3 linked regions of the Elephas maximus indicus genome follow. The protein of the gene in region 1 binds, or shares a complex with, the protein of each later gene. Links are inferred from orthologs where the notes say so. Each region holds a gene or a part of one and is shown in the gene's direction. Other genes may lie near its edges.

The links. Proteins that work in one complex are often made in the same cells at the same time.
Region 2: PRPF6 (region 1) and USP39 share a complex: the UniProt entries of both Homo sapiens proteins name them as parts of the U4/U6-U5 tri-snRNP complex. The link is inferred for Elephas maximus indicus from reciprocal best matches to the Homo sapiens genes PRPF6 and USP39.
Region 3: PRPF6 (region 1) and LSM3 share a complex: the UniProt entries of both Homo sapiens proteins name them as parts of the U4/U6-U5 tri-snRNP complex. The link is inferred for Elephas maximus indicus from reciprocal best matches to the Homo sapiens genes PRPF6 and LSM3.

Annotation. Positions count from the first base shown.
Region 1 is NC_064843.1:4,137,616-4,145,358, reverse strand, and holds the start of PRPF6 (pre-mRNA-processing factor 6), read left to right. Parts: upstream 1-4,673; 5' UTR 4,674-4,764; coding exon 4,765-4,835; intron 4,836-6,605; coding exon 6,606-6,774; intron 6,775-7,743. Other genes in the region: SAMD10 (sterile alpha motif domain-containing protein 10), read right to left, coding at 1-214, 847-1,018, 1,094-1,275, 3,001-3,091. UniProt on the Homo sapiens protein: Involved in pre-mRNA splicing as component of the U4/U6-U5 tri-snRNP complex, one of the building blocks of the spliceosome.
Region 2 is NC_064835.1:48,987,991-48,995,983, reverse strand, and holds the start of USP39 (U4/U6.U5 tri-snRNP-associated protein 2), read left to right. Parts: upstream 1-4,869; 5' UTR 4,870-4,899; coding exon 4,900-5,167; intron 5,168-7,993. Other genes in the region: C17H2orf68 (UPF0561 protein C2orf68 homolog), read right to left, coding at 2,252-2,738, 2,819-2,925.
Region 3 is NC_064838.1:39,858,140-39,865,330, reverse strand, and holds the start of LSM3 (U6 snRNA-associated Sm-like protein LSm3), read left to right. Parts: upstream 1-4,067; 5' UTR 4,068-4,150; coding exon 4,151-4,171; intron 4,172-7,191. Other genes in the region: XPC (DNA repair protein complementing XP-C cells), read right to left, coding at 3,777-3,882. UniProt on the Homo sapiens protein: Plays a role in pre-mRNA splicing as component of the U4/U6-U5 tri-snRNP complex that is involved in spliceosome assembly, and as component of the precatalytic spliceosome (spliceosome B complex).

The DNA of each region.
Region 1 (7,743 bases):
GGGAGAAGTGGGAGTACCAAGGGGGCAGCCCTGGCATTATCTGCTGTGTCCCTCAGCCTCGGCCCCCACTGACCTTGGCTGAGCAGCTGCAGGCTCCGCCCCTCCTCTTGCACCTGCAGACGCAGCACCTGCTGCAGCACCTCCTGCCGCTGTGCCTCCTGCACCAGCCCCATCCTCTGTAGCTTCTCTGCGTTCAGCCGCAGCAGCGCCCGGCCTAGGGGTGGGAGAGGGAGCAGGAGCCAAGGTCAGCACGGGCCACTGAGAACTGGGGAGAGACAGACAGACAGACAAAGACATAGGAGGAGAGAGACCTATATAGAAGGAAAGAGATAAAGCAGAGACATAGGCAGAGAAAGGAAGAGACAAAGACAGAAAAGCAAAAACTCAGAGATAAGGAAAGAGCAAGAGAGCAAGAGGGAGGGACCAGGATGGAGGGCAAAAGATGGGAACAGAACAAAGAATGGCCAGAGGGACAGAAACAGGGACTGAGGAAGCCAACGAAGGAGATTGTGCAGAAAGACACAAAGACCCAGGAGAGGCCGACTCAGAAAGAGAAGAGAGATGGAGCCAGGACAGGTTGCATGTGGCGGGAGGAGGCTGACTTGGGGACCCCCCCACAGTCCTCCACTGACCCTCTCCCATTGACCCTTCCATGAATTTACCATTCCCCACTGCCTCCCCTCTGAGCCTCCCCTTCCCCCCCCACTGACCCTTGTCACTGCTGACCCCCCCACTGATCCGGTTTGTGGTGGGTGTCCCCCTGGATAAATTCCCTCTGCTTACCCTTCCCCCCCCGACCCCCGGCTGAGCCCCCCCTTCCATGGCTACCCCTTCCCCACCTCGTACCAGTGATGGCATGCTGGGAGAAGGCCTCGACGTAGATGAGGTAGTGGTGGGGACAGTGCTTCTTGAGCCACTTGCACACATCCTGCTGACTCCACAGGACCACAGGCCGAGTCAGGCCACCCAGCGAGTGGCTCATGTGGTACAGGCCACAATGATCAGAGTACAGCCGGCCCTGTGGTGGGGGGCAGGTAACATTGAGGGGGTGGGACAGGGAGGGTGGGGCTGAGGGAGGGGTGGGCAGGCATACCTGGGGGGGCTCGGAGCCCGGCTGCTGCAGGAGCTTGACTGGCCTGCCGCTGGCTGCCCTCTGGCTTTGGGCATCATGCCATGTGAGGCTGGTGCCTGGTGTCCGGGGCAGGTGGCAGGGGATGCTCTCAGCAGATACCGTGTGCTCCAGGAGGGTCCGGCAGAAGCTGAAGTGGGCAGTGGCTGGGGTGCACGGGTGTGGTCAGCAAACGGTGAGGGAGAAGCCCGGAGGCCCCTTCGCCATGAGCCAGTTCCCTGCCCAGCCCTACCTCCACTCCTTCATCAATGGGTTCCCAAGACCCCAAAGGCAGGAGGAAGGGTACTGGAGCTGTCCGGGGAACCGAGCAGGTCAAAGACGAGGAACTAGAGACACAGTCCCCTTCCAATCCCATGGCCCACACAGGGGGAGCAGGACAGACTAGAGCACAAGTGTGCTCCCTGAAGCTCAAGGCTTCCTGCTAGGGGAGGGTCCATCCTGGGCTGGCACACCTGCCTCCCACCTTGGGCTGGCACACCTGCCACACACAGGCCCCACAATGCTGGTGTACACGCAGGCTAGCCTTTGAGGAGAGGCTGGCCCCAGGCATCCAGGAGCCTCCCCCAGGCAATGCCCCTGCTTTGGTTGGCCAACTGTGACTCACTAACAAGGAGCCTGAACCTGGGCAGGCCCCAAACACATTCTGGGCTTTCTTGCTGGGCCATCTTTGCATGGGCTGTTCCCCACTTCCCATGGACCCCTAGGACCGCACAGCACCGGTTTGTGGTGGGTGCCAGGGGCATGTGCTGCTTGGCACAGGTGTGTAGGATGCATATCAGCCCTCTTTCCACACCAACTGGATTACACTCACCAGGTTTTAGTTCCCCAATAATTTCTGGAATCATTGCCAAGAGGAGAGCTCAGGGAAGTCAGACACCTGGATGGTACCCCTCCCACTCAGGGGGATCTCTGTTCCCAGCAGGCGGCCTGGCCCACAGGGGGTGAGTGAATAAGTGAATGAATGGATGGAGGCTTTGTGTGGGGTCTGGGAGAGATGTGGAGGGTGGGGTACAGACTTGCCCCACTTTTACAGCGCTGGTCCTGACCCAGCAGAGCAAGGTAGATTCTGCGGAGAAGCCCCCCAGCAGTAGAATGTGAGACCCTCGCTCCCACAGCCTCCGCCCCCCAGGTCTTAACCAGGAGGTCTCAGGAATACGGGAAACTCACATCCTATCCTTGGCTCCCCCTTCCCCACACAGGGGGCTTCCTGCAACTTTCAGGGATCAGATGGGCCCAGGTGACTAAAGTTGAGGTCTAGGAGTGGACACAGAGTGTGGCTAGTGTAACCATAGCCCCAGAGTGGCTTCTAGTAACGTGGGAAGGACGTGTTCTGCGCCCGGCCCCTCCAGGAGAGGCACTGGGGTCTGGCTCTTGCTGGGCGGCACGCTGGGGCGCTCCCTAGGATCTAGTACGACCGTCGGCCGCCTCCGCCCGCGCGCACCTGCCCCGGCCCGCCGGCCCCGCCCATTTCCTGCTCGCGTCCTGGAGGGGGCTCCCGTCAGTCAATCCGTCTGCCGGTCCGTTGGTCTGTCCCTCCTAGCCCAATGTCAGAATTCCCGCAGGAAATGGGGCGGGGAGGGGGCGAGGGAGGGGACCGAGCCAGGCCATGGCCTCATCCTGCTCTCGGCCCGGCTGCCTGGGCTCGGGAGAGTTTTCTGTGAGCGAAGAAAAAGGTGACCCCAGTGCGGTGCCAGTCCGAGGACAGGAGCGCCGGCTGGACCACCACCAAGCCAAAGGCGCGCTGACCCCCAAGGCCTGAGGCCGGCCGTTCCCTTCCCCTCCCGCGCAGGACAAAGGCCACAGGGACTCCGTTCGGCCAGAACCGCCTTCCCCCCTTTGGTCCCCGCCTGGCCCGCAGCGGCCCTGCTCACCGTCCACATCCCGGCGCTCCCCGAAGCCGGCGCGCACGGCCCCGGCGCGGCCTCGCGGGGGGCTCAGCTTGGACCTCAGCTCGGTGAACATGGGTCCCCGCGGTCCCGGGCCGTATTCACACGCCCCTCGCCGAGCGCAGGGGGGCCGTGTGGCACGGGGGATCGCGCGCCACCGCCCCGCCCCGCCCCGCGCCGGTCCCCGCTGCCCAGCCGGTCCCCGCGTCCGGCGAGTCTGCGCGGCGAGGCACCTGCCCGCCAAGCCCTCTCCGCCGGGCGCGCTCCAGGAGCTCCGAGGTGTGGCGGCGCGCGCGCCGGTCTACATGTGCAGAGGTGGTCAGCCGGGGCCAGGGGCAACCGTGCGCACCTGGGCACGGCTCCGGGGACGCGTGTCCCTGTGCACCTGCTGGGGGCGGGCGTCTGCAGGGGCCTCTGGGTGGGGTACGTGAAGACATGTCGGTCCCCCTGTGTGTGTGGGGGGGGCCTTGTACATCCCTCTGGGGGCTTCTCCCCACGGAGCCCTCCCAGCCACGCCTCCCCTCCTCCCTCACAGGCTTACTCGCTTAGCCCTTCAGCACAGTTCTACGGACCTCTCCCCGGGCCTCGCTTCAATATGCACCTGCTTCCTCAGAGATGCCAACTTGGCCTGCGCTTCCCTAACCACAAGGCGCTCTGAGGACCCAGCGTCTTTCGAGGACCCAGCGTCTTTCCCCTTCCCTCAGTAGCCCCAGAATCTGGCTCAGGCTTGGACGTTATATGAGACGCAGTAACTGAGGGGGGAATGGGTCTGGTGTGGGGAGGGACGCCAAGGAAGGCTGTAGCAGGTGGGAGGGACCCCCAGTGAGAAGTGATGGGCAGGCTGGGAGCAGGGAAAGGCTGGTGCGGTCCACCAGAAGCCTGGTCTCGCATGTTCGTGTAAATACGTGCATGCACACGAAGTCTGACCTGGACAAAGGCCCCACAACACACATGAACAAATGCTCTCATAGAATTCACTCGCGTGCCTGGAGCCCGCACACGTATGCTCATGCGACCATCCACGGTATGTATCTGTTCTTGTGAATTAGACTGCATTCAGGGGTCTCTTGTGCCAGGAGCTGCCGCGCCCTCGCTAGAGTATCCAGGGCCTGGGGGGTGTGGGGAGGGGTGTGGGGCGCTTTGCTGACCACCAGGGACTGGTCAAACTGGGGCCGAGGAATCTGGCGCCAAGGTGCAGGGGCGAGAGTGTGCACACAGGGTGTCCCCATCACAACACAACCCTGCGCAGCTGCGCACGCCCCGCTCAGGTGGTCAGCCCTGCCAGGGCCACTCGGAAGGGCTGCTGGGTCGGGTCAGAGGGAGGAGACCACACGGTCCGGGCCCTCGGGCAGGTCTCCTCGGGCACCGCACAGAGCAAACACTCGGGAAGCGTAAAGGCCATAGGCTCAGTTTTGGGGTTCCGCGGGTTTACACAGGCTGGTGTTGCCCTTTGACACCTCGGGCCGGCCGGGCACCTCCCACCTCGCCACAAGCTGGCGCTCCCGCACAAGCGCCTGCCGGCCCCCCAGTGCTACAGCCGCGGCCGGAAGTCGTCGAAGCAGCGTTTCCGGAACTTCCGGCCGGGGAGCCTGAGGGGCGGGGCTTCGCTTGGATGGCGCACTCTGCTTCCGGGGCGCGAGTGACGTGGGGCCGCGTCCTCTTCCTGCGCCCAGGCAGTTGGGTCTCTGCTTTTTCGCTGCGGTTGCGGCCTCACTTCTTCTCTTCCCGGTCTTTGGCGTTACCGCGGCCATGAACAAGAAGAAGAAGCCGTTCCTGGGCATGCCCGCGCCGCTCGGCTATGTGCCGGGGCTGGGCCGCGGGTGAGGCCTGGGTCGCGGGGCCAGCAGAGGCCGGGCGGGCGGGGCGGGACGCGCGCTCCGGGAGGGGATTCCGGGCCGGGGTCGGGCGTAGGGGCTGCTCCCTCTGGCCCGGCCCGGTTCCGTCCGCGGCTCTGCTTGCCTGGTCGACGCTGGAGGCCCGCCCTGACTCTGCCCGCACTTCTACCTGGAGGCAGCAGGACCTAGGGCATCCCGTGGATCGCGACGGGGAAGACAGACAATAGTAAATGAGGCTCTGAGAGATACTAGGTGGTTTGGCCTAAGCCCTGTGGGAGGCAAGGGGCTTTGGAGTCAGGACAGACCTGTCTGTCAACCTGCCTACTACTTAGTAGAGTGTTTCTGGGTTTAGGTACATATCTGAGCCCTTTTTTGCGTCTCTCCAGTGGGCGATAGATAATGCCCGCTTGAGATCCGCTGTGATAGATGAATCCCTGACATGTAGTGGGAATTCCAGGACCGGCTTCCCCAGACGGGGCAGGCCCACTCCTCCAGCTTGTCTTGCCTTTCCTCAGCGCCCGGGCTGGTTAGGTCCCTCTGTTGTGGCCACTCCTAGTGTTCCATTCTTTCTCTTTAGTATCTGCCATCATAAGCTGCTTGTTCAGAATGTCAGCTCCACAGGGGCTGGAATGGCATCTATGAACTTTGTGATTGGTCTCCCACACCTGCAACACAGATGGCCACCCTAGGTTGTTGAATAACTGAGCAGTCATTATCCTATTTGTTTGGATATTCATTTGGTTTGGAAAACTACTGCGTTTCTCTCTTGTGAGTACTAAGAATCTGTGGGGTACACGCAAGACTCAGATGTTGACCCCCTGTACAGAGGAGCTGCCTTCACTAGGGAAGGTGAGGTATTTGCATAAATAACCACATAAAGAGGAACAGGTTGAGAAGCCTTTGATCCAGATTTAGGAGGAGGGTCAGGTTTAGAGATGCAGAAACATGGCAGGGGTAGAGGAGACTGACATTCTGTATGTGGTTAGTGAAAAACAGGAGTGGCTTGGAGGGAGACGGAACAGCATGGAGTCCCATATGAGTGGAATGTGCAGTGAGTAGAAGGCAGCTGGAGGGGCCAGTGGAGCATTGCACATTAGGTTAGAGCTTGTGTCAGCATTGGAAAGACAGTGACATGTCATCTTGTGTTGAAGCCTGGATGAATCGGGTAGAGCAAGGGAAGGCTACAGGCAGGGGTGGCTAACTTGGCATCCAGCTATATTGGGGGCCATACAATCTGAGGAGGAGAGATTTCAGATGTAGAATCAAAAGAACTTGGAGCAGATTGGATGGGGCTGGGGAAGGAGGGAGGGAGGGAGGCAGAGTTGATGCCATGTGCTGCCTTCAGCTGAACTAGGGTACCTGGAGCAGGAGAGGAGTGCAGTCTTGGCCAAGTAGGGTTTGAGAGACTGATTGGAGTGGAGGTGGAGATGATCAGCGGGGTGTTGGAAACATGAGGCTAGAATTTGGGAGGTGGGAGGCCATGATGTCCTGTGCAGGGAAGGCTTGGGTGAGAAGAGGTCTCCTTGGTGGCGCCCAGGGTAGGTTAGAGGGGTCATTGCCTAGAGGAATGAGCACACCAGTGTGTTTGCAAGTGGCCATGCTTAGCTTACCACCCCAGGGTCTTTCAGAGGTTTCTGAGGTGTTAGAGGGGTGTTATTAAGCGATGGTCGAGGTTGGAGAGGAAAACACAGGAACAGGGTCACCCAGATGTGGCAGGGGGTGGAATCCATATGGATGTCCTGGGGTCTCCTGCAGTGCCACTGGTTTTACCACCCGGTCGGACATTGGCCCTGCCCGGGATGCGAATGACCCTGTGGATGACCGCCATGCTCCACCAGGCAAGAGGACCGTTGGGGACCAGATGAAGAAAAACCAGGCTGCAGATGACGATGACGAGGACCTGAATGACACCAACTATGATGAGGTAATGTGTGGTGTCTTCTGTGGCTCCCTGGCCAGTCCCTGAAGGGAAGGGCTGGACAGCTTCTGTTTTTTTGGCTTTAACAAACAGGAACTTCTTTCACAGTTCAGGAGACTAGATTTCTGAATTTAGGGCTCCAGTTCTAGAGGAAGGCTTTTTCCCTCTGTCAGCTCTGGGGCGAGGTCCTCGTTTCAACATTTGTGGACCTTGTGTTCCTTGGGAATCTACATGTGTCTTGGCATCAGTCTTACCATGGGTCTGGGAGGATCTCCGTGCAGGGACCGCAGGTCCAAAGGACATACTCTGCTCCTGGTTCTTCTTTCTTGGTGGTAATCGAGTCCCCTTTCTCTGCTCGCTTCTCTCTCCTTTCATCTCTTGTAAGATAGAAGGCGATGTAAGCCACACACCAGGAAAGCTCGCCTTACATAGGATCACGGCTATGACCTGAGTAAGGGTGTTGCATCCCACGCTTATTCTCTTTAACATAACCTAGTCTTGCCTTGTTAACCACAAGCAGAGATTAGGATTTACAATACACAGGATAGTTACACAAAATGGAGGACAACCATGGCCTAGCCAAGTTGACACACATGTTTGAGGGACAGATGAGGGTCAATCCATGACAATGACCCAGGACTTTTCTGCATCCCAAACACTCGCATGTTGTTGTTGTTAGGTGCTGTTGAGTCAGTTCCCACCATAGTGACTCTACAACAGAACAACACTGTGCCACTGCTGCAGCCACCATGTCAGTCCATCTCCTTGAGGGTCTTCTTTTTTGCTGACCCTCTACTTTGCCAAGCATGATATCCTTCTCCAGGAACTGATCCCTTCTGATAACATGTCCAAAATATGTGACAAAGTCTTGCCATCCTTGCTTCTGAGGAGCATCCTGGCTGTGCTGCTTCCAAGACAGATTTGTTTGCTCTTTTGGCAGTCCGAGGTATATTCAGTATTCTTCACCAGCACCGT
Region 2 (7,993 bases), on another chromosome or scaffold:
CGTGTGGCAGGGGAGGGGCAGACAAGAGACTCACTTCACTCCCTTTGGGGCATCATTCAGGACTTCTTACTCATGTTGAAATCCCCTTTGTGGATTTGTTCAAGACTGTTAAGTCACTTTTGGAGAGTCAGTTTCAAGCTTGCTTTGATAATTTCTTTAGTCTGAACAGAGGAGAGACAACTAGGGATGAGGTAAAAGCTGGAATTCCATAGCCCTAACCAAGGCCAGTTTTGCTACAAGAAATCATTGCAGTTAAGTTCCGGTATCTTCTTCCTAAGTCTCCTATTAGACAGTACAAGGTAGTGGTGCATGTGAGGAACTTGCAAAGGCCATGGAAGACGGAGACGTGCTTGCAGATACACCCCCAAAATGAAGGGCCTCCCACTTTGCTGGTAACAGAATTACCTGGAGAGCTTTTTAGAAAGGTAGATCCATCCCCAGGACCCCCCACCTCCAAGGTGCTGAGCAGTTGGAGGGGCACAGACCACTGCCTACAACTTCAGTGAGGCTCCCATAGTACCGGCATCCAGAGGCAGTCACATGAGAATGGGAGTGGAGGGGCAACTGATGGACTCTACCTAAGGCAAATGGATGGGAAAAAAGAATGAAGAAATAGAGCTGAAAAGAAGACCTAGGAAACATGGCATTCGATGGAAGTGAGCAGAAAGGCAAAAGGAAGGAACCATAAAATTACAAACGTGGGTGTAGAGCTGGGTGAAACAGCATTGGCCAAGTGTCCGGTGGCACATGACCGCAGTGAAAGCAGCATGATGGCGCAAGGCTTTGTGACCCCAACTCCTCCCGGAGTCTCTGCTTCCAGAACACCAAGCTAGTCAAACAAAATTCTCAAGAAATTCCAGACTATCAGGCTGGTCAAATGGGTCAACATACAGTAAAGGAATGGCTGCAACAGAGGCAGGCAGTCCTACAACATCCTTCTCCTGTGGATAGATGCAGCAGCTCTGGGGAGGGCTCTTAAGATCAGCAAATGGTCCTGGCACCCTCAAGCTAGGAGTGAGCTCCGTGGACAGAACTCCTTTGAATGCAGTAAACCCAGCCTGGAGACAATGCCTTCAACCCCTCAGTGTCGGCTCTGTCGCTTTGCAATCTCCTCCTGGATGCGCAATTTGAGGGCCTCTCGCATGGGTGGATCCAGAGGCGTGTGTGCTGACACCTCCTCACTCACCCTTCCGGGGTCATCGTCCTACGTGGAGGAAGAGTCAGGAAGCTCAGGGCCTGGCCTCTTCTGGAAAGGCAGCCTGCCCCATCCCCAGACAATGCTCTCACAGAACTCCGTTTGGCTCACGGCTTCCTGCTGGCTCTGTCATTTCCCAGATTATCCCCTGTAATAGTGATTCTCAACTGGGGGCACGAGCCTTCCCTGTTCCCTTCTGAAAATCACTGTGAGATGGGAGGGAGTCGTGTTTGTAAAGCATTGCCCAATAGTCCTATGCTCCCACGTGGAATGCACTCTTCCCACTGGCCCTGAGTCAGACAGCAGCTCAGGGTCTGGCAGTAACGCCTACCATGGCCCAGGGCCTTTAGGCTGCAGCTGTTTCCACAGGAGGCGTACCTGATACACGATAACTGACGTGACCTCTCCGCTGTCCGCCTCATATTCTAAGCAGAAAAGCTGATGGCCAGAAGGCTCCAGCTCAGATCCACCACTACTGTTGCTGTCACCGGACTCCTCATAGTCTGGGTTGCCTGTGTGAGTAGAACCATCTGGAGGGATGAACCAAAGTGAGAGGGAAGAGAGGGAGGCAGTTGGAGCCCTTGCACACAGAGATGACGCAGGAAAACAAAGTCCCAATCTTCTTATGGGCCCTGAATTGTGTGTATGTGTGTGTGGTGTGCTACCAATTAGAAGCAGTTTTATTTACCTTTATATCATTGCTGGGAACCCAGCACAGTCCTTTCACATAGTAGGTATACAATGCCTGTTTGTCTGGTGAATAGGATTGGAAGGTATTGGAGGAGTGGATAGAACAGTCTCTGGAGCCACTGCCTGGGTTCAAATCCAGGCTCTGCCATTTAGTAGCTCTCAGATTTCAGGCAAGTTACTTAACTTCCCTGTGCCCAGTTTCCTCACTTGTGAAACAGATGTGATAATCATTTCCATCTTACGGGATCCTACGAACACTAAATAAGTTAGCGTATGGAAAAGGTAAAGGCACTATTGCACTGTTAGTTACTCTGATCTCTAGATCCCAGTGAAGCTAGGGAAAAATCCATTTACTGGGTTTGGGTTTTATTCCACAATTGTGTCCTGGTCACTTATAGCTGGGCCAGGTTTCCCCTCCGCCAAGCACTGCAGATACAGAGGTACGGTATGGCGGGGCAAACCCACAAACAACTTTTTGCTACAAGTATCTCCTGTAACAGCAATCGGGATTTTTAAGTGGGGGCCATGAGTCCTCCCTGTTCCCCGGGGAGAATAACTAAACCGAGGTGGGGGACGGCTGAAGCAGAGGTTCCGGGCAGGGGCGACGTGATCGGAGCCTCGGGGGACGAGAAGTGGTTTTTTTCCATACAGAGAAGGGGAGTGCGTCGCAGCAGAGGGCCCGGGGCCGGAAGGGCGCGCGGGCTGGAGGAGGCAGGCGGGGCGGGCGGCCTCACCTCGGCGTCGCGGCAGGTACACCTGCAGATCGGGCTTGCGGGGCCGCGTCGGCGCGGGCGTGTGCCGCCTCCTCGCCTTCTCCTTGGCTGCCTGCTTCACCTTCTTGTCGTAGTCGTCCCTATGGGGAGCCGAGCGGGAGTCAGGGGCGGCCCGGCTGGGCCAGGCAGGGGGTGGCGCCGGCGCGGGGAGGGGCGATACCGAGCGATCTGGTTCCGTCGGATGTGCTGCACGAAGCCGTGGCTCATGTCCAGTCGTCCGCCAGGCTTGCAGCAGAGCCCCGGCCCGGGAGCCGGCGCCGCCTCCATCTGAAGCCCTGTTCGCGGAGCAGCAGCCGCCTCAACGGTCTCAACGGCCGCCCTCCCGTCGGAAGAGGCCCGCCTCTCCCTTAGCTCAACTTCCGGCTCCGCGTCGTGACTTCCGGTCCCGGACGGGCCAAGGAGGCCGAGTGCTGCTCGCGCTGAAATGACAAGGGAGTGGCGGAGTGGGGAGGCCAGGGAAGCGCTTCCGCCACTTGACCGGGCTGTTTGTTTCCTTTGTAACATTATCAATGCGAGACAAGACTTAGGCTTACTGCTCAGAAGCCAAAATACATCAGGAAAGTACAAATCACCCATTGTATTACTCAACGTCCCTTGTGGAGCCTTCCTGTCTTTATTCTGGTGATAGGATACTGTGAACCTCCATCACCAGCCGCGTGACCTAATCCCCCAGTGCCTCAGTCTCCGCACTTGTAAATGGGGACACGGATAGCACGCGCCTGCTAGGTTGGTAGGAGGCAAAGTGCTGGGCGGCCTGGGCGAAGACGTGCCGCCAGCCAGACCTATATAATTTTCGAGCTCTTTTTGAAAAAAAGATAAAAGGTAGGAATTTATGATTAAAATAGGGCCAACTGTGTTACATCAACACAATGGAATACTACTGAGCAATCAAGAGGAATGAACTGTTGATAAACCAACAACGTGGAAGAATCCCCAAATGATTATGCTGAGTGAAAGAAACCAGCCCCCCTACCCCGCAAAAAAAAGAGTACGTACTGTAAGGGTCCGTGTATTTAAAACTCTAGGAAATGCAAATTAGTCTATAGCTGGATGGGTGGGGCAGGGGGACACTTCATTATCTTAATTGTAGTGATGGTTTCACCGGTGTATACATTTGTCAAAGCTTACCAGATTGTACGCTTTAAACATGTGCAGTTCATTGTATGTCACTTATACCTCAGTAATCGGAAAACCAAACCCGTTGCAGTCCAGTCATTCCAACTCATAATGACCCTATATATAGGACAGAATAGAACTGCCCCAGGGGGTTTCCAAGGAGAGGCTGGTGGATTCGAACTGCCGACCTTTTGGTTAGAAGCGATCTCTTAACCACTATGCTACCAGGGCTCCTATAACTCAATTAAGAAACCAAACCAAGCCCGTTGCTGTACAGTCGATTTTGACTCATAGCGACCCTAAAGGACACAGTAGAACCGCCCCATACAGAGCTGTTAAAACAAGAAACATACTAGTACAGGGGTTAGAAGGGGGTGGTGACAGGCCCTGAAGCCTGAGTTTTACCAGCTTCTTGGTAAATCTGCCCCGATTGGGCATTTGCTTACTCCTGTGGTACCAAGGGAAACTCTGGCAACGTAGTGGTTAAGCGTTCGGCTGCTAACCAAAAAAAAAGTTCGGCAGTTCAAATTCACCAGCTGTTTCTTGGAAACCCTGCGGGGCTGTTCCACTCTGTCCTATGGGGTCGCTGTGAGTTGTAATCGACTCGACGACAGTGGGTTTGGTTTGTCTTTTTTTTTTTTTTTTTGGTTTGGTTTGGTGGTACTAAGAGCAACGCTGTCGGAATTGGGGCCACCAGGGTGCTGCAAAAAGGGGATGTCGCCTAGTTGTACTGCGCAGGAGCGTCAGGCTCTGACATCCCGAGACCGTGGGAGCCAGCCTCCCGATTCTGGTTTTCAGTCACAAATATCTTGAACAAATCTAGGGCCGTATGACACCTTCTTTGATTCAGAAACGCGATTGCCAATAAAGGGTTCCTGCTTCTTGAAACTGGAAATTACGAGTAAGGTGGCTGTAGGCCCGCAAAACATTCTCAAGAGCGCTCGCAATGGCAAGCAAAACGCTAAAAGCGCGATGACTCCTGCAAGTTTCCGGCGGCGCGATTTGTCCCCATAAGCGACTCGTAGAGTCCCCTGGGCTCGGTAACAGCGCCGCTCCTGATTGGCCGCGTGACGGGCACTCCCAGCGTGCTTGGCGTCTGCGCGGGCGGGTCGGCTGGTAGTGGCGATGTCTAGCCGGTCCAAGCGGGAGTCTCGTGGTTCTGCCCGCGGGAAACGCGAATCCGAGTCCCGGAGCAGCTCGGGTCGCGTCAAGCGGGAGCGAGATCGGGAGCGGGAGCCCGAGGCGGCGAGCTCCCGGGGCAGCCCGGTGCGCGTGAAGCGGGAGGCAGAGCCTGCGAGCGCTCGCGAGGCCCCGGCGCCCGCCTACCCAGTGGTGCGGGTGAAGCGGGAGCGCGAGGCGGATGAGGACTCGGAGCCTGAGCGGGAGGTGCGAGGTGCGCGGGGCCGGGCCGGGCCGGGTTGGGCCGGGCTCCACCCTTCCTCGTCCTTTCTTTCCGACTTTCTGAGACTTCCCTGCAAGGAGTGGGGGTGGGGGAATCCAGATGTCAACGAGGACAGTACTAGTATTAGTAATGAAAAGCCCAAACCCGAATGGTTGCCATCGAGTTGATTGGGACTCATGGCAAGCCCATGTGTGCAGGGTAGAACTGCACTCTGTAGGGTTTTAAGCCTGTGACCTCTTGGAAGCATATCGCCAAGCCCTTCTTCTGAGCCGCCTCTGGGTGGGTTCCACTCGACAACCTTTAGGTTAGTATCCGAGCGCTTAGCTGTTTGCACCACTTAGGGACCGCTAATATTAATAATTGTAGTTGTAGTATTTTTGTTAATATTAACAGCAGCCTGCCTTTACTGAATCCCTATGGAGGGTCCGGCACTGGGTTGATTACTTCTCAGGTGTTAACTCCTTCACTTTTTACAACAAAGCTGAGGTGTGTGAGTTTTGCTGTAATTTCTGGGATCAGACCGTTCAGTTAAGAGCCTGAGTGCTGTGCACCTGCATAAAACTACCCCGTTATCCCTTTGGGGTGTAGCAGTCAGGAGGTCTGGATTCTGGTCCTTCCTCTGAGATTGAGTCACTCTGGTTTGGGCAGGTGGGTTTCATATTCTGGTCTGTCTCTAAATTAGTGGAAGTAGCCCTGCCAGTGAAACTGTTACTCCCTCCATGAATTCCCCCTTTGCCTCCTTCCTCTGGGCTCTTTCGGTGTCCCCTAGTACTTGTGAGAGGGTGAGATCTGGAGAACCATCGCCCAGCCTTGGTTTTCTGTGTAGAGTGCTCTCTCTTCCTACTTGTTGAAAGTCTGTTGTTGTCATGGAGTCGATTCCAACTCCTGGCGTCCCCATGTGTGCAGATGGGACCTGCTCTGTATGGTTTTCTAGGCTGCGACCTTTCAGAAGCAGATCACCAGGCTTTCTCCTGAGGCACTGCTTGGTGGGCTCAGACTACCAATCTTCCTGTTAGTAGTCAAGTGCTTCACCATTTGTGCCACTCAGGGAATCCTGTTGAAAGTCTACCGCTCATCAAATAGGTGCCTGCCACCTCTGAGGAGTCCCTGGGTGGTGGAAATGGTAATGCTTGGCTGCTAACTGAAAGGGTGGTGGTTCGAGTCCACCCAGAAGTGCCTCAGTGGCCTACTTCGGAAAAATCAGCCATTCAAAACCATGTGGAGCACGGTTCTACTCGGACACATGTGGGGTTGCCCTGAGTTGGAGTCCACTTCACAGCAGCTGGTTATCACCTTTGTAACTTTTCCTGTCCAACCCAATTACATCCTCTATTCCTTCTCCCAATTTTGTACTCTTGACTTCAATATATTCCTGTATACTTGTATTCTGGTGAGTTAGTAGAAGTCTATTGAAATGGCAGATGCGTATATCACTCATCTACATGCTAGCGGAGGGGGGCGGTGTCTGGAGGGGTCTCTTGTACCTTGTGGTACTGGTTATCTGTATATGATTATACTGTAATATTTGCTCTTAAATTTCTTGGTCAGGTTATCTGTTTGATATATTTTTGTTTTATGCGCAGGGTCTAGTATAGCATCTTGCTCATAGAAAACCAAACCAAACCCAGTGTCCTCGAATGGATTCCGATTCATGGTGACCCTATAGGACAGAGTAGAACTGCCCCATAGGGTTTCTAAGGAGCGCCTGGCAGATTCGAACGGCCGACCTCTTGGTTAGTAGCCGTAGTACTTAACCACTACGCCACCAGGGCTTCCTGCTCATAGAAAGAGCTTGATTATCTTTGAATAATAACTTCAGGGTATTCTCTGACTTCCTTTACTTAAATAACTGTGTCAGCCTCAGGTATCCCCTTCCTGGCAAGGGAAATGGTTTGTGAGATATTTTGCATAATTGTGGTGAGGAGATTGTTTTCTCTGGTGGACGTATTAGGATTCCAGTTACTGTTAATGTCTTTAAAAAAAATTGTGAAATATATCACAGGCATTAAGATGGACTGAATTTACAGTGAACAGGTACCGTTTAAAGATGAGCATGAATATATATCCATAAATCTACCACTTGCCAAGAACTGTGAAAGGTCTAAGATTTTATCCTATTTGCAGGCTAACAAGTTAGTCTGGCACAGTTTCATGGATGCTGATAAAAAATATGGAACTCCTGGTTCAAAGACAAAGGACAGTTTATTACTCACAGCAGTAGCAGTGGTGAGACTACCAGCATCTGTGTGAGTTCCCTGAGTCAGTTCCCACAGGGCGGCTTGGTTCACCTGTACACACGGTGCCTCACGGGAGAGGAACCCTGAGCTTTGAGAACCTGGATCTTTTATAACGGACAGTAACCTTGCCTTTACTTTGTAAGGAAACACTGTTTCTCTCTTTCAAGGCTGTTCACTGTACCAACATCCCTGACAAGATGATCTGCAGCAGAGGCTGGCAGTGCCTCTGGTCACAAGATGTGCAGAAAAGTGAGACCCATAGAGAATTGTCTCCTAACACCATTCAGCTTAAGAAGTACCAGTACCTTAGAAGCTCCTGTAGGCCCCTTCCTGGTTGTATCTGCTTCCTTTCCTGCTTGAGTAGTTGCTGTCTCGAATTTTCATTGCATTATTTTCTACTTTACAGTTTTATCTCATATATGTACCATTAAGTTGCACAGTGTTTTGTTTCGTGCTTGATGTAAGTGGAGTCTTACTGTATGTAGTCTTTTGATTTTCCCTTTTGTTTTTGTGAGACATGTTTTTGAGGTTCATCCAGATAGATGTTCATGGCTCTGTAATATTCCATGGGTGATGTACC
Region 3 (7,191 bases), on another chromosome or scaffold:
GGTAAGGACCCTGCTTAATGGGCAGGGCAGTGTCAAATATCACGAACCTGCAACTCCCCCTTGGCTGCTGCAGCTGAAAATAGACTTTAGGAATATATCCCTATGCTAACGAGGACCTATGCTGTTGAATTGGCTCACACAGGTCTATGGCCACGTGCACCAGCTGAACCAGCCTGCAGGGTGCTGGCTAGCTCAAGACTGGCACCCTGCTTCTGAATTTTCTCTCCCTCCCTCTGCCGCTCAGTCCGACTCCTCAACTTTGTCTTTGATGATCAGGGCTCCTAGACTGTCAGATATAATCGATACACTAAGAACCTTTGAACCTACTGTTTACTCTGGAGAACTCTTTCTCCCCACGACTTCCTATGAATGGCTCCTTCACAATATCCAATAATTGGCTCAAAATATCACTCCTTAGCGGCATTCCCTGGCTACTCATCCTATTAGCTATCTCTATCAGCTTTATTACAGCATCCTGTTTTATTTTCTTCATAGCTCTTATTGCCATGTGAATTTTTTTTTAACTTGTTGTCTACCTTACCCACCCCTCCCAAAAGAATATAAGCATTATGAGAGCAGGGACCTTGTCTGTCTTTTTCACTTTCAGCACACAGAATAGTGCCTGGAAATAGTAGATGCTCAGTTAATATTTGTTGAAGGAATTAATGAATTACATCAATGAAAGAATTATGAAGAAATCAGAGGTGCCCCAATATAAACAAATAATGTGGAAGACTGTTTTCTTTGTTCCTAACTGCCGCAAGCAACCAAGTGTCACTTTCATTTGCATGCTGTTAAAACCGAGAGTTCTATAAGAATTTCTACACTGAAGAGTCATCGGCAGTGTCACCTGCAGCCCAAACCACAATTGCTAAGTCTGTGCCCCTCCACTGAACCACAGCAAAGATTATAACTCTTCAGATCCCGGAAGCTGCCTTGGAAACTTGTTTTAACTCTGCTGGCTGGCAAAGTCTGAGTGAAGCCTGGGGGTATCCTTAGCTACTGTGATGGTTAATGTTATGTGTCAACTTGGTTAGGCTAATTCTCAGTGGTTTGGCAGACACTATATAATTACCTTCTATTTTATGATTTGATGTGAGCAGCCAATCAGTCGAAAGGGGAGTCCCCTTGGGGGTGCAGCTTGCCTCTGGTATATAAAAGGATATTCTGGAAAAGCTCCCTCTCTTTCTCAACTTGGACTCTTCTCATCTCCTGACCTCCAGTTCTTGGGACTCAAGCGTGCAGGAGTCTCTGGCCTGCTGCCTGACCTGCACATTTTGGGTTCATCAGCTCCTGCAACCACGTGAACCAGCAGAGGTCTTCAGCCTGCTGCCTGACCTATGGATGTGGGTCTTACCAGCCTCAGCAACTGTGTGAACAATTTCCTTGAAGTAAAATTTCTCTCTCTATGTATCTTTATGTATACTTCATTGGTTTTGCTCCTCTAGAGAACTGAGGCTAAGACACCTACGTTTAAGCTGAATGATATTAGCTAGCTCTAACTTGGGACCAGGTGCCAGGCCAGAAGCTTTATATGCTATCACTATGAACATTCACAATCACCCTGCAAGGTAAGATTGTTTCACAGATGAGCTTCAGAAAGGTTAAATTATTTGCCTAAAATAATTTACACACGTGCACATAACCACTGTGTTAGAGCTATATCAAGCTGGCTCCCAGGGTAAGTGTTGAGCTGGGATGAATACTACCCAGAAAGGAAACATTTCCATCCTATTAAAACCTGTAAGTTTTCAACTGTAACATTCAGAATACATTCCCTCTGACTAGAACATCCACTGGCTTTCAAGGCTGCTTGCTAAGATTATCCATCCTTAAAGTCAAAGATCAAACATAACTCCTTCAGAGAGCATTTCACAATTTCTCCAGTCAAACTTGATTATTCCTTTGGAAGCCACAAAGGCTTTTGTACCTTCTCCCATGATGTTTAATATACCTCACCTTAGATATTTTATGTGCAAATGTCACATCAACACTAGTATACTCTAAGCTCCCCCAGGAAATCTCTATCTCTCATGTCACCTAGCTCATCATGTACAGCACATAGTAGGTACTCAAAAAAATTTCACTTCAATGAACACATGAGTAAATGAATGAATACAAAGGAACTCACATTATTATTTAAATATAAGGTAAATCATCGCCTAAGTTTAGGAATTATTACCACTTGACTCCTTCCTAATGGGTGATGAACTTATAATATGTACAAAATCATAGAATCTAGTGTTACAGGAACTCTTACTGGTTACCTAAACAAATCTTCTACCCAGTTATTTCTGGAACCCCAGAAATCCCTCCTTGAGCACGCATTCGGCAATTACTCAAAATATCTATTGAGCACTTCCTATATGTGGGGATGAGGGGAAGACAAAAATGGGATACAACAAAAAGTGACACGTGTTCATGGAACTTAAATTCTGGTGAGACAGGCAAAAGAAACAATAAATTAACAAGAGCATTACAGACGATAAGACTTATGAGGGCAATAATTGGGGCACTAGCAGTTCGAATCTGCCAGGCGCTTCTTGGAAACTCTATGGGGCAGTTCTACTCTGTCCTGTAGGGTCACTATGAGTCAGAATCGACTCAACGGCACTGGGTATGATAGAGTACTTGGGGACGTCCACCTTAGACAGAAAGCTCTGGGTTGAGACCTAAAGGGATGGACGAAATCAGCCATGGCAAGAGCCAGGAAGGACATTCTAGGCAGAAGGAACATTAAAGGCAAGGGCTCAAGGTGAGAAATAATTTGGCAAGTTTGAGGAACAGAAAGGAGGCCAGTAAGAAGCATATCTGGCAAGGAAAACAGTGGTAGGAGAGGCAGCAGTAGCCAAATCATGCAGGATCTTGTAAGTCATGGTAAGGAATTTGGATTTTATGCTAATAACAATGTGAAGCCCTGGAGTTTGAAGTAGCATGATCTGAGTCTGCTGAGTGGAGAACCCACTGCAGGGGAATGAGGCAAAGAGGGAGACCAGGAAAGAGACAAGTGCAGTCATTTAACTGAAAGTGATGGTGGTTTGCACAAGGGCTGTGGTGACGAAAATTAAAAGAAGCAGTCAGGTATGAGATCTATTTCTGAGGTTGAATTGACAAGACTCGCTGATGGATTGCAATGTTGTGTACATAAGGAAAAGGCAGGAAAGGAGGATTTTGCTTTAACAAGTGGCTGAAGGGCTTACTTACTGAGATGAGAAAAACTGGGGAAGGAACAAGTTTAAAGGGGAAATGGAAGAGCTTTGCTTTACCTGTGATAAATATAAGAAGCCAATTCATATGCAAGAGCTCCATAAAGAAATAGAGTCAGAGCCTAGACTGGAACTCTGGGTAAGACTTAGCTGAAGATATTACTCTGGGAGTCAGCACACTAAAGTAATTCTACGCCCTGGTCCGTCTTCTGGGGACATGCAAAACACTGCAACGTCTCTTCCCCATTCAGCCTTGAGCATCTGCGATGAGACAGGTAACACTCGGTTTTATCCTGTGGGTAACAGGGAGCAGGAAGGAGATTATGCAGGTGAGCTCGTGGTCAGGTAGGTCTCCAGGGGGATGGCTCGGGACACATTACACTCGTGGTGTGGAGGACAAAGGCGCAGGGAAGTCGGGGAGGGCCGGACCAGTTACATAACGGCCCGGCAGGGCTCCGCCTGCCTCCCTAGCCGATCGTTAAGTAACACCGTCTCACGCATCCGCTCGCGGGCCTGCCTCCCGCCCGCCCTCAGCATCTCACCCCTCGGCCCTGTCGGCCTCGCTCTCACCTGCCTCCTCCTCCTCCTCACGCCGGGCCGGGTTCCGGTCTTCAGCGTTCCGTCCGCGTGGCTGGCGTCGCCGCGGCTCCCCGCCGACAGCACGTCTCCGACCCATAGCTCCCGGTGAGATTCTGCACGCGAGTGACGCATCCGGCCGCGGAAACCAGCCTGCGCGCGAGCTCCGCCCCTGAGCGGGGCGGGGATGGCCACACCCCCTCCGGCTTGGACAAGCTCCGCCCCAGCTCCGAATGGCCAAAGTGAACTGCACGAAGAAGGAACAATACTGATCTGTCTACTTCCGGTGCTTTGCGTCCTCCCGTTCACGGGCGCCGGATGCTAGGCATGTTCTCGCGAGAGGAGGGAAAGGGCGCAGGGTTTGAAACATGGCGGACGACGTCGACCAGGTGAGTGTGTTCTAAGGTGCTCCCTTCAGGGCGGCTTTGCACTCTCAGCGCAGGCCCTGTTAGGCTTCGCGTAACTGCGTTGCTTTCTCCAAGGTCTCGGGAAAGGGGCCTATCGTGCCGTCTCTTTCCAGGTTACCACGGCCTAATCTGACCCCATCCCCTCGGTAAATGCTCCCCCTATGAGTTTTGCCTCAGCCCTTAAGGTATTTTCCTTTTTGAAGCCCGCGTTGCCACTAGTTATTCCCCACTCTCGTCACTTCCTTCTCTGAGTCTCACCCTTATCTGTGGAATGGGAGTAATTATCTCTGGCCGCTTCCTGGAGCTGTCGGGATTCTGATAGAAAGCGTGGAAAGCGTGGTAATGAAGTTTAGGAGTTATTTATTATTGGTACTGAGCGTAACAATGATTCATTCAGTCAACAGATACACTGTTCCAGACACCAAGGACGCCACCGTTGACGTATGTGATCTCTGCCCCCACTTGGAGCTTATAGTCTATTGGATGACTTGTAATGAAAAAGTAAACATAAATATGAGATATATAGGAAGTATGATGTGGTGTGAAGGAAACAAGCAAGGAACTAAGATGCAGAGTAATAGATGGTCCTACAGGCTGCCCTTCCCTCTTACCAGAAATGTTCTTCCTCAGATATCTTTGTGGATCAAGCCACAACTTCTTCAGCTTTTTATTCAGATTTCATCTCATCAAAGAGGCCTTCCCTGGCCACCTACATAAAATTCTCCCTCTTCCCCTGCCCCCCAGTCTGCGTACCCTGCTTTTTTTCTTCATAGCATATTTTTTCATATTAAATATGTACTTCTTTGTTTAATGTCCGCCTCCCCCCACTAGAATATATGTTCATGAGAGCAGAGCTTTGGTTTTGTTCGCTATTCTATCCTTAGGGTTTAGAACCGTGCTGGAAACACTCAACAAGTATTTATTGAGTGAGAGAACTGGATAACAGGAAAGACTAAATCTACTCCTCACTCCTCACTTATATACTCTCTTATCATGTGACGTTTCGCATTTATGACAATAGCAAAACCAGCCGACTATTTTGTGCATTAACGATGTACGTCTGGCAGTAATGCATGTGAAGATGTGAGATGAGAGTAACGCAGGCCGTGATGGTTAAGGTTGTGTGTCAACTTGGCTATGCCATGATTCTTAGTGATTTGGCAGTTACGTAATGATGTAATTTGGCAGTTATGTAATGATGTACCCATCCTCGATTTTGTGATCTTTTGTGGTTATCCTCCATTTTCATATAACGACCTGGTTTTTGGAACCTAACCATGTCAATAAGTGTACGACATGAAAGAAGGAGCTTCCCAGACTGTGGTGGAAATAGCAGTGGGACTCTGTCATGTGTATATTCTTATAGTGTTATTTATCATTTCTGTGCTTTTCTCAGACCTTCATTTCCTTAGCATTCTGACTGGTGTGTGGTAGGCATTAAATGAACATTTTTCAAATGATTAATGACAATGGAGATAAGTTCCTTGAGAGTGACTCCTTATACCCTTAAACTGAGTCAAATATTTTAGGTTTTGAGGGAGCAAAGTTAATCAGTACAGTCATGATTATTCTGTTGTGTAATTCCTCCCTGTGTGTACGTCAAGGAACCCTGGTGGGACAGCAGTTAAAGCAATCAACTGCTGACTGAAAGGTCGGTGGTTCAAAACTGCCAGCGGCTCTGTGGGACAAAGGTGTGGAAGTATGTTTCTGTAAAGATTTCCAGCCTTGGAAGCCCTATGGGGTCACTATGAGTCGAAATCAACTCAACGGCAGTGGGGTTTTTGTGGGTTTTTTTTGGATGTATGCGTCTTTTATCCCTTGTTACACAGCACTGGGTGGTGCAAACAGTTAACACCCTTGACTGCTAACCGAAAGGCTGGAGGTTTGAGTCCACCCAGTGGCACCTTAAAAGAAAGACCTGGTGATCTACTTCAAAAAAAAATCAGCCATTGAAACTCTTACAGTTCTCATCATGAGCTTTGTTTTTTTTTTAATGTGTCAGGTACTTCATATACAGGTAGTCCCCAACTTACAATGGGGTTCTGTTCTGACAACTCCATTGTAAGTTGGTTCTGAGGTAAGTTGAATACTTCTTTATTTTTTAGTTTTCATCATTATTGCCTTTTATTGTCAATATCTTTATAAATCCAATCTTTATTTGTCTTTGGGGGTTGAAAACATTACATATTACATATGTATTTTAATACATATATAAAAAACACACAGATCATAAAAATTTACTCCAACAGTGAAGAAGAGTTGGACAGATTGGCATTTTGTCAGTTGGAGTAATAACTCCACTTGTGGAAGGTTCTGGATCATTTGCATTACCCCTGGAAATGGTGATAGCATTTTTAGTCAGGAAATTAGTGAGAGTTATTTCTATGGGCCTTTTTTTTTTTTCCCTCATGGTTACATCTCACTGTTTCCCAAATCTCCCTGTCGACTTTAGCAAGGTGATCGGCATTTGGGTCCATGTTTTCAAGCAACTGAAGCCCCTGATTTAGTTTAGAAAAAACTTTAGCTAATCCTTTCCCTGTAAAATTTTTTGACAACTTCTCTCATTCCTGTTCCTCATTTCTTTCTTCTTCAGTATTTCTTTCTCCTTCAAAACCCATTAAGTCCTGACCTGTCAGTTCCCCTTCTTTCTGGCCTATGAGCTGTTCCACATCAGTGATATCAAGTTCTAAATTCAGAGTTCTTGCCATATGGACGATTTTCCCACCGATCTTTTCCATCATATTATCCCAATCAAATGCTTGGAGCGTGTTCACATAACCCAGCATTTTTTTCCAAATCCCCTGCATGCGTTTTCCCGTAACTTCCTCCCAAGAAGATTCAGTGTTCCAGGTACACGGAAGAATATTACAATGAAGTCATCATCAGTGTTGTAACAATGAAGTCAGAGTAGTAATGGCTGTTGGGTGCTTGCACATTTCTGTTGTCATGTGTCATTAGGGTTGAACATTGTGCAGCTTTGTATCCATTACAACACTCTATGC